Linked DNA regions of Caenorhabditis elegans. The protein of the gene in region 1 purifies or fractionates together with the protein of each later gene. This does not show direct contact. Each region holds a gene or a part of one and is shown on either strand. Other genes may lie near its edges.

Region 1 (6,149 bases):
CCTATTTTCTAGTTTTTCACTCTTCCGTATTTTTTTGCCCAAACAGTCGTCTTGGTGAACTCGTAGACATGACGACCACGAAAACCAATCCTTGACAACCTCTTCTATTTTCAACATTCATTTTTCACAGCTTTGTCATTTTTCTTAAATTTTAGGATTCTGAGAAATTTCCTTTTTTTTTCATACTGATGTCAATAAACTATTTTAAATTTGATTGCGATGATGATCTGTGCAAATATCATGGAATAGCTCATCTACACTGCGGACACAAACGGTACAGTTCCAAAAATTGTTAAAATTTTTAGGATTAAGCTTATGCTTAGGCTTCGGCTTAGGCTTAGGTTTGGGCGGTGGAGGGGACAAGCCCTATTTTTAAGAGATTGCCATTAGGAATAGAAAAATAATGCACAAAAATCTTGTAAAATCCAGGGCGTAGCTCTTCAGAAGACGGTAATCATTTAATAAATAATATTTTATTGCAGGTGTAACTTTGCATCAAATGATGCTCTTTTGATATCAAATCATCTTTCCGTGTTCCATTTAAAAAACTCTGAAATTCCTGACGACCGAATATTCTATCATATCGACGTCTCATGTGGATCTGACAGGTGTCAGTTTAACCGAAACAGTTCTCATTGGCACTGTGCCAAATGTCAAACGGTATGACTATTCTCTTTCAGAATAATTTTTGAAGTCTGGAAAGCTTCTGTGACACTGATCAATAATTCATAGTTTACAGGGATTTGAAATTGTTGGTCTCCATTGTTGTCCAATCACTTCCCTTCCCAAACGGCTTGATGTAGTTTTCAGGTTTACAACAACTATTTCATTTTTAAAATTTCAGTCCTGTTCTCGTCCGTTCTGCAAGCTCAAAAAGAAAGCACACTTTCATTGCAAAATTTGTGATCAGGTAGTTTGGAATACAAAGTAATCGACGAAGAACTGTATATGTTCAGGGTTTCTCGAATAACACAAAATTGGCAAATCATACACATCGGACTCAGAAGCTGCAAAAAAATATCTGCATAGAAAATGGAAAATTGAAACCGAAAAAAACCACTCCGAGGGATTTTTTCGTGCTTCGAGAACCTATTAGGTTTACGATGGAAGAACATTTTGGAGGAGGGAGTGTGAAAGAAGAATAGGATCTTAATTTTTTTTTTACTTTTTTACATAAAGTTAAAAAATATATTTCAGCCGAAGTATTTGATATTTGTTGCGAAATTAATAGTTGTTGTTAAAATTGGACATATTTTGGAGGGTTTTTATATAAATTAAGGTTTTTTAGATCATAATTATCTCCTGTATGTGACTCTTCAGAAAAAATCAAGTTGACCTATTGAGTAGACGTAATACCTCTATAGTCCCATAAAACTATACGACTTGCTGCTCTGTGAGCACTCTTTCTCACATTCACCCAGTGTGCCCCCCATTATTGCATTTATTGGTGAGTACACCCTGAACAACAACACAATAACTAACATCGATCTGAGATCAAGCGCAGATAAGATAGAGACGCAGATGAAACAAGAGTCAGTTGTCTGTGCTCTGTGTCTTCAGGACGTTCTTTTGACATGCCATTCGATGATTTGGGTTGATGAAAAGTAAGGAAGAACATTTCTTCTTTTTTTGCCTGCAATCATCAAACTGAGCTTTCCGTTTTATTTATTACTTTCTCTCTCCACCTTCTTCTCTTTTTTGTTGTGTTTTTTTTTCTTTTTAAAGTCTCCTAAGTGGCTTTTTTTGCAGTCAAATGCATCTGAGAACCTTGCATTTTCTAATACTTATTGGGATATTCATAGGAGGTGAGTTAAACATATTTTGATCATTGCAGCGGAGTTTTTTTAAAACAAGTTTTAAGCAAACAATGTTTCAAAGTTATTTTTTAAGATTTTTCAAAATTTTAATAGTAAGTCAAGTGTTGGCAAATTTCCAACTTCATAACCTATTGGGGAATTTTGAGAAATTGAGCGAATACTCGCAGATTTGAATCCATGTAGTGTTTGAATAAAATAATCAAAACAGTATATTTTTGGTCGACTTCAAAAAAAAATTAGTTATTTTAAAGACGTATAAGATATTAAATACTTGCCGCTGGTGCTACTCCAATTTTCACATTCTGAAAGTTCACTTGCACTTTGCAACAGGCAAGCGTGTAGGTTCAAGATAGTCGTAAGTTGCCTTGAAGGCTTTATTTAATTGCACCAAACACTAAATTTTCAGCACAAGAAGTTGATCAACTTTTAATTATTTTTAATTTACAGGTCAGACATTGGGATGTATGAAAAAAGTTTGTGGAAACAATGCAAAAAACGATTTTCGTCGCTGCCCGGACACTGATGGATCCTGCGGTAATTATCATACAGAGAGGTGAGAAACTTTTTTATACTAATTTTTTTGTAAAGAAACTTTGTATATAAGTGAAAACATAAGAAGTTATTTTTCAATAGTAATGAATTCAGACATAGAAAATAGCGTGATCAATTTCTTTTGTACATCTTTCACGACTCCTTACAAGCTGAGATTCACTTGAAATAACAATACATCGAAGAAATGTTGCAAGTAAAAATAAAATAATACCTAAAACTGTAAGGGCTCCTAATTTAATAGTTATAGTTGCTCCGTTTACGAGATCATTGTAAAAACCAGCAAAAAATAAATGAAATAGAGGAGATAACAAACTGAAAACTAACGTTTGAGTAAATAATTTCAAATTTAAACATCGAATTGAATAAATTTCAAGAAAAAGGGCTAACACTGCTAAGAATGGCCATTTGTCGTCAGGAACATTGGCTAGAAAATCAGAATTTTGAAATAAAGTATAGTGAATGAAAAGTTGAAATATTGAAATTAATACAGAATGTTGAAAAAGATAAATTAACAATCGATCGATAACTGCACATCTTTGAAGCAGTGGTGTATCTGGAAATTTAATTTTTCTTTCATTTTTCCTTGATTTTTGAAAATTGGTGTAGCAGTTTTCAAATGAGATTTAAAACTGAAATTGCAATACAAAATATTTTTGAGAGCATTTTTGAATATTATAAATTGAATACCAGTACTCCAACACTAAATGACCGCTATAATACATATTTACTTCTCATATAAAAAATAATAGATTTCTAGAAGATCCAGAGTAACTTTAAATGAAAAAGGAGATTCTAAAAATTTAAATTTACTGAAAAACTTAATTTCCGTATTTTTCCAATTAATTTTCTACTTCCAGTTGTGATTTTAAAAAGTTTTGAGAAACAAAAATCTTGAAAATAGATCAACTTATTCTAACCAGTTTATCATTGTTATGAATTTTAAAAAAACCAGATACCCAATCCAGACAAGATGCAAAACTAATATTGTACTTCACTCAAATTTTGTTTTATTTTAAAAACTCAATGCTGGAATTTTATGAATTTCAAGAATTCAATTTTGTTATAACCGAAACAAACCTTGAAACGCTTTATCGAAATTTCCATACAAAATATAGATCAACAATCGAAATTCAGAAATTTCCAACTTGGAAACAGTAGCAGTCGGTCGTTTCATTCTTTTGAAGAAAAACACGAAAAGTGAGCTCACAGATCTTTTGAGCCGCGGAAAAGAGAAAATGAGAAGAAACAGAGATAAAGTGATGATATCACACACATTCTAACTCACTTTTCAAAAAAAAACAACGGATGATATGACACATGGCTTTTGAAACGAGACAACACTGGTTTTAATATTAAAATGTCTAGTTTTGAAATTATACAATTTTTTATTTATTTCTAGAGTTTTGCTAAATGTATGTTATAATAGTGACAACTTATTTTTTCAGAACATCAGGAGAAATAATCGATGGAGTGGATGTTCGATGTCATCTCGGAGAGCCAATTTATGCTCCAATTGAAGGAGAAATGTACTTTTGGAGACCATATGGAGGTAAACGTGAGAAATCATGCGCCGACCAAGGAGTGAGAATTGAGGGAACCGGGCAGTGGCAGGGTACGTTTTGGAACTTCAAATATAAAACTATTGATTTTTTTAAATTTAAGGCTACGCAGTGCACATATCTTCTGTTAAATTGTCCTTTTTCGGAGGGCATGTTGAAGCTGGAGATGAGATTGGAGAAGCTTTGAATCGATATTGTTTCAATGACAGAGGACAAAATGATGTCGAGCCTCATGTTGAGATTCGGTTGTACAAAGAAGGAAGACTTATCGATCCGACTCATCATCTTCAAAATTGTAATTTTTGTCAAGATCAGGTTATTTAGAATTACTAACATATTTTCAGGCATGTGTACTGGTCAGATCTGTGAATCAAACACTAGAAATGTGCTCCTTGGTGACCCTTTTAAAACTGACAAGTAAGCACTTGTTTTAGATTTTAATATATTATGGAAGAATTGCATGGGCTAAATTTTTCCCGCTGCCAAAACCAATTTTTTTTTTCAAATTCTCTCTCAATTTTTGCCAAATTTTTTACCAACTTGTGTAGCAAATTTATGTTTTCAAGCCAAATAAACCAGTGACAAAGTACCAGAAAATAACAATACATATACGTACTATATACTCTAATAATTGGGTACCGCAAAACAACTTGCAATACTAATAGGGGCGTTTTTAACAGAAACAGCTATGCATTGAACAATTAATTTCAGACGTTACAACGGAGTTCGTGGTTGGGATGTTGAATGTCAAATGATTGATGATGATGATGAAGATTCACCACGTGCACCAATGATCTATTCACCAATTGCTGGAGAAATCGTTGGAAGAATTCGTCTTTTCACTGACTCAAATGGAGCTTACACCGGATGTGATAATGATGGAATTTTCATTGTTGGAATTGATGATTGGCTCGGATTTGAGGCAAGGCTGTACAATGTGAAGGCTCGAGCAGACATCGGATTTGGAAGAAAACGAATTATTCAAGGAGAGCCGATTGCAACTCGGCTGGCATGTGAAAATAGTCCGGACAGTGTGTTTGTAGAGGTAACAGTTTTTTTTAAAGATCAGAATATGCGATTGCACTTTTTTCTGATCTTCAAGAAAATTTTAAAAATCAGGTTCTAATTTCTATTTGTCAAAGGTTTTTTGCTTTTGATGGCAAATGATAAGTAAGCTAAAAGCTCATGTCTCTTGAAACCAGTGAAGTTTTTTGTCTTCAAGGAGTATATCCTTCAGAAATATTCACATGGAGTTTCCGTTTTCATCTTTAATTTTTCAGATTCGCTTCGAAGGCCGAGTAGTCAATATTACTGATATCATAACCGCTGCCAACTGTAAAACTCCGAACTTTCCAGTATTCTAAACAGTTCCTTACTAATCTCTGAAAATGTCTCACAATTGCTTTCTGAATTCTCTTGTTCTGTTATTTCTTTGATCGTCATTACTTGCAATTAGTTTAAATAAATTTGTTAAAAATTTTAAAACAAAAATTCTTTACGTAAAACTTGAAAAACAATTTTAAAAATATAAATTGTCCCTACTCATCCACGTTGAATGACCCTTGGATGAAAATCAATCGATTGTCTTTGATTTTATTCATCAAAGTTGTTGCTGTCAAAAGTGCAATAATCATTGTGTGGACATGCTCACTCGTCTTTCATCTGGAACCACCTGGAATCGGATTGCCGTTCAAAGCCGACAAATGTCATTTGGTTAGTTTAAAGAAATGTTTACCCAAATGCAGTTGTAAAGATTTTTACTTGCTTTGTCAATGTTTTTGAGTATGTTATATGCCAGTTGACAATTGACTGACTTTGACTTGACTTGAAGGAATATTTTCATAGTCTAAGCTAAATAATACGACGTTCCAAAAATGTATCAAATAAATAAATCAATTGTTTAATTTCAGAACTGTCCGACACTCAAAAGGAAATTCAGTCCCATGCTATAAAATTTTCGAAGGACGTTCTTGTGCCAAATGCTGCAAAATTCGATAAAAGTGGAGAGTTTCCATGGGAAATCGTGAAACAGGCTCACTCGCTGGGATTCATGAACACAATTATTCCGGAGAAGTACGGTGGACCAGGATTATCCAATTTGGATACCGCCCTGATTGTGGAGGCCCTATCATATGGATGTTCTGGACTTCAAATTGCTATCTTTGGACCATCGCTGGCAGCTGCTCCGATCTGTTTGTCTGGAACAGAAGAACAAAAGAAA
Region 2 (4,875 bases), on another chromosome or scaffold:
AATTCATCTGTGACGATTCGGGTGTTCGTCTTCTGTCCTTTTTGTTTTATTACCGTCCCGACCGACCGCTGTAGAAAACGGAAGATACCCTCTTTTTCCCCTACCCATCCTTATATTGATACATCTAAAGCGTGCCTTCTCATTTCTCTATAGCAACTTTATTTAATAATTCATTCTTTTTGATGTTCACTGCTGTTGAAGCTACTCTCTATGTTCTGCTTGATCTGCTCATCGTGGCGGTGTTCATGAAAGCAAGATTGATGTGTTATGAATAATGAGGAAAAGAGAGTGAACTGCCAAATCCAAATTTTATGAATTTGGAGAAATAACCAGACCTCTTTTGGCTCAGAGACACACTCATTTTACGACCTTCTTCCGTGACATATAGAGAGTAATGCGGACGAAAGGATTTCGAGAAATCTGTCCGATCGACTTAGCACAATGCTCCGGAAGTATATAGTCTGTGGTGTCACAGGTTTTTTTTTCGCATCAAAAATTTCATGTCTCCAAGTCGATGAAACTGAATTGTATTTTTTTATTTTAGAAATAATTTTTTTAAAAAAAATTTTTAAATCGCGTTATCCAAAGAAAAAACGAATAATTCAATAGAGAAACTAGGCTTGATCGAAAGGTAGACCAGAAATTTTGCAATCGTTTCGAGACCCGAGCATGTGCGCTCTGTTGCGCGCCTTTGCTACAGTACTTGCATTTGTTTTGTTTCGCCGCCAAAACGATTTTTAACGAAAACTCTGAATTTTCTCTGTTTTTCTAGTGTTTTTACTTGTAAAACTACAAAATTTATTAGTCTAAAAGTAAATTAAAACATCTGAAAGTCGTTTTCGATTCGAAATAACGTTTAAATCACATTTTCCGTTAAAAACCTGATCATGTTCCCGTTTTGAATGTTTCAGACGCGCTGTGTTGAAAATTTAGCTTTTTTCGGATAAAAATCACCTATTTTCTGTCGTAAATGATTTGTGGCCCAGAATCTTTGAAGTCTTGTTATTCTTTTACCCACGCATCCATACGTCTCATAGGTGACATCTCGTGCGTAGAACATTTTGAGCAACAAAAATCGAGTAGCGTGACGCGAACGCATTTTTCTTTTTTCCTTTTCTTTCCTGAAAACGTCCTTGAAGAACGGCCGCTTCTGAAGAATGGAGCAGCTCTCGTTCTGATTGCAAAAAAAAACGAGACAACCGGTAAAGTACAATGCCATCGGCTACCGCCATGCGCAGATTGCGTCGGTTCTGTGTGTGTGTGTGTGTGTGTGTGTGTGGACTGTCAACGAATACATCTATCACCCCCGTTGACTTCTCCTCATGCCCTTCTTTTCTCATCTTGCATTCCATTTTTTCCACCTTATGTTTTTGTCTGTACTTTTTTAAAAATAACTTTTTTTGTTGATAATTTTCGAAACTTTTTTCTCTTAATTTTATTTTCGTAATGAATCAAACAACAGATTTAATTTCTTATTCTCATCGTTAATCCAACGTGCTTCCTCATGGTCACTTTTCGGTCAGCGGGGTAGATTCCCATGAATTCTCGCTTTTTTTCATTTGCATAATCGGGAAAAGGAGAAACCTAGACAAAATAAGAAGTTCTTTATTTCATTCTTCTGATTTTAAAGTCTTTCGTTTATTTTCCGGTTTTAATGTAATCCCAATTTTCGAAATTTTAAAGATGAATCAGATTTTGTACGAGAATAGTTTCATTTGCACAAGTAGTAGTACAATTATTTTCTTGAAAATTGAGGGAAGATTCTATTTTTTCAAACTAATTCATGTTTGTTTAATTCTTAACGTTTCCTTTTTTTTCATTTCTCGTTGTTTTTTCTCCGAACTTCTCTCAAAATTCTTCGCAAGCTTTATTCCAATTTCAGGATAGAAAAAGAGTATCGAACGAAGTTCGACGCGATTCTAGATCACGTCGAAAGACCACCATCATGAGGAGCTTCATATTCCTCTTGTTACTCACTGGCCACATATCATCAGGTGAGAATTCTTTTGACGTCGAGGACATCATATCGCTTCGAAAATTGTTTGATTGGCGATTCATGTTGACATATTTGATTGCAACATCATTTTACGCCCTTTTTTGTTGTTTTTTAATGGCAAAAATGAAAATAAATATGGAATCAAGATATTCAAAGCCTTTTTATAGAAAAAAATTGTAAATAAATAATATTGAGAAAAACGCTGAAAAGCATTTGATGTGCTCAAATTTATGAACAAAAAACAAATATTTCTATAACAGAAACAATTGTCAAATATCCATATATATGTAGCAACATTTCTAATAAAAACTGTTTCAGGCAGCATAGATTGGTCAGCGATCGAAACTCCTCCACAATTTGTTCACGATAAGAATGCAGATACCGTTTACTTTAAAGTCGAAAAAAGTGGAATGAGTGATGAATCGGCGAAAAATACGCCCGGTAATCTGCTCGAACAAACGATTCATTGCTATGCAAATGGAAATCCAAGGCCTTCGTAAGTTTTTTGTAATGTTTCTGAAAAAGTAAAATTTAGAAAAAAAAATGAATCTTCAAATATCTTAAAATAATTTTTATTGAAAATTAGACTTGCATGCAATACTAATTGGGAAAGATACGGTAGTTTCTATCTAAATTTGAAAAAAAATTCGAAGTCTTTTTACTGCTTCTAAAATTGCTTTAAAATCCTTTTGGCAGTTTTGGTGGAGCATTAAAAAATTTGAAAATTCAACATTATGCTCTACGAACAGTTTCCATTTGCATTTTTATTTTTCAACTTCCAGAATTAAAAAGTGTTCAAAATATGTTTTTTATACTATTTTCTTTATTACAGATATCGTTGGAAAAAGGATGGTAAGACGTTCCTGCCGTCCATGTTTCCGGAGAAAGTTGTTCAGAAACCAGGAGAAGGTGAATATTTTTTGTTGTTGTAAAAATCTAAAATTGAGAGAATATGGAACATTTTTGAAATTAAAAAGATGGAGTAACTGAATAGTTAAATGTTTGTTTCAAATTATTATTCTGATTTGAAAAAAGTTCACTTCATTTAAATATAAACAAATTTGTTTTATTTTTGTGCAATTATAAAACTCCCACATGCAGGAAAAACAGGAAAACAGTTTTTCCTCAAATCCAAAAAAAATCGAAATTTTCGGTTAGGCCTAAAAACCGAGAAATATTGATTTCTCATTAAAAAAAAGTTCGGTTTTTCAGAAAACCTGTTCTGAAATAAATATGACATTTTCCAGGAAGCCTTGTGTTCTCCCGTCTTGATGAATCTGATGCCGGATTATATCAATGTGAAGCTGAAAATTCGAATGGAACAGCTGTTGATCGTCCTGTCCGTGTACAAGAAACATGGATTCGTCATTTCAAAACTGCGGAACCAGAAGTTGTAGTTGTCGAAGTTGGAGATCCGTACCAAAGAAATTGTTCTCCACCTGCTAGTAATCCATACGCAAGAGTTTATTGGATTCTTATGGGAAAAGAACCGGGACATTTCGAAACTATCAGTAGTAGTCATATTTCTAGCAATGAACAAGTGAGTGATAACAGTTTTTTTTTTCATTCTTTTTACAGATCGTTTCTCGTAACCTCATTGTGCCAAGAAAACTTTTCTCATTCACTCCCTGTTCTTTGTAAACCAAAATCAAACAATTTTCATAGAATTGAACGATTTTTGGAGAAAGATTGAAGAAAAAACTATTCAGTGCTTCTGGCTGTATCGTATTCAATTTTTCGAAAAAAAAATAACTAGACGAATAATCTCTGCGATTAAGTTTCAAATTTGCTGCTCGTTCCAATCTTCAAATACTAAAGAAAACTTCAATTTCCATGTATTTTTTTTCAATTAAAATCAAATCAAACAGAAGTTTTTAAAGTGTTTCGATTCTATATTTTGAAATTGTAACTCGTGGATGATTTCGACGATTCTCGTTTTTAAAGCCAATTCGAAAACTACTTTCCCATTTTCCCAAGCCAAATTGATTTTTTTTGACAACATCTAAAGCATTTTTGTTTCGTTCTCACGAAAAGTACGTTTGAAAATATAGCATATGATGGTCAGCTTTAAACACTTATTTCGACGAATTGATAATTTATCCGACAAATATGCAATCAAATTATATTTTTACATTTGGCATTTTTATGCTAAAATTTCCTGTTGTTAAGTTGGTATCTGTTTCTAGTGTACGTACTAACAATTAGGTCCTTCTGTCGATTCTTGCCTTCTATTCATACATCATACCAATATACATCGCCCTTCTCACTATTATTATATTCTATGTCCAAATTCTATTGTAACCCCTATAATACAGACCCTTTTCCCGACGTCTCCATCAGATGAATAAGTTTTTTTTTGCGTTACAACAACACCTGTCCACTTCTATTTGTACCTTTCCGCCACCATTTTTCCGTTGCGTAATTCAGTAGTTTGCAACATTTTTTCCGTTGTTATTACGTCTCCATCGCAATTAGTTAGACATACCCCCGGAGGTTGAAGGATGAGAAATGACCTTCTGAAGTTTAACCAGTTGAAATGAGAATATTTTGAAGTGGATAGAAAGACATTAGCTGCTCCTAAGAAGTAACCCTTTGAGCTTTATCCTCCATTCACACATTGTGAAAAGTGGCCTCACATAATATGAACGAAGATGATGATACTGGTGTGAACCTATTTGGAGAGGAGAGAACGGGAATGAGAGAAACGAAGAAAAAACAGATTAGCTGCTGTTAAGTGGTGGTTTTGTCGTCTTAATTTGATTGAAATTTTTTGACGAGACCTTTCAATTGTCTCCATTTTTTTGTTTTAAATGATGAAAAAGCTTACTTTTTTAGCGAATCAAAAAGCAGTTGTTTTTGTATGCTTTTAAAAATAGTTT

What was found.
Region 2: the proteins of lect-2 (region 1) and sax-7 purify together in Caenorhabditis elegans (affinity purification with western blotting; 2 studies listed by BioGRID). This does not show direct contact.

The regions. Positions count from the first base shown.
Region 1 is NC_003280.10:5,788,984-5,795,132, forward strand, and holds lect-2 (Leukocyte cell-derived chemotaxin-2 homolog), read left to right. Parts: upstream 1-1,739; 5' UTR 1,740-1,753; coding exon 1,754-1,805; intron 1,806-2,264; coding exon 2,265-2,370; intron 2,371-2,374; exon of another isoform or gene 2,375-2,458; coding exon of another isoform or gene 2,459-2,922; intron 2,923-3,446; coding exon of another isoform or gene 3,447-3,543; exon of another isoform or gene 3,544-3,607; intron 3,608-3,814; coding exon 3,815-3,981; intron 3,982-4,031; coding exon 4,032-4,223; intron 4,224-4,272; coding exon 4,273-4,345; intron 4,346-4,639; coding exon 4,640-4,973; intron 4,974-5,208; coding exon 5,209-5,292; 3' UTR 5,293-5,419; downstream 5,420-6,149. Other genes in the region: K05F1.13 (C2H2-type domain-containing protein), read left to right, coding at 189-274, 483-660, 740-799, 845-910, 957-1,145; K05F1.14 (uncharacterized protein), read right to left, coding at 2,459-2,922, 3,447-3,543; acdh-8 (medium-chain acyl-CoA dehydrogenase), read left to right, coding at 5,572-5,641, 5,839-6,149. UniProt on the Caenorhabditis elegans protein: Muscle-derived dendritic guidance cue, which is required for the formation of somatosensory dendritic arbors which extend from PVD and FLP sensory neurons during development.
Region 2 is NC_003282.8:8,060,787-8,065,661, forward strand, and holds the start of sax-7 (Neuroglian), read left to right. Parts: upstream 1-1,872; 5' UTR 1,873-1,945; coding exon 1,946-1,994; intron 1,995-2,314; coding exon 2,315-2,492; intron 2,493-2,828; coding exon 2,829-2,905; intron 2,906-3,243; coding exon 3,244-3,536; intron 3,537-4,875.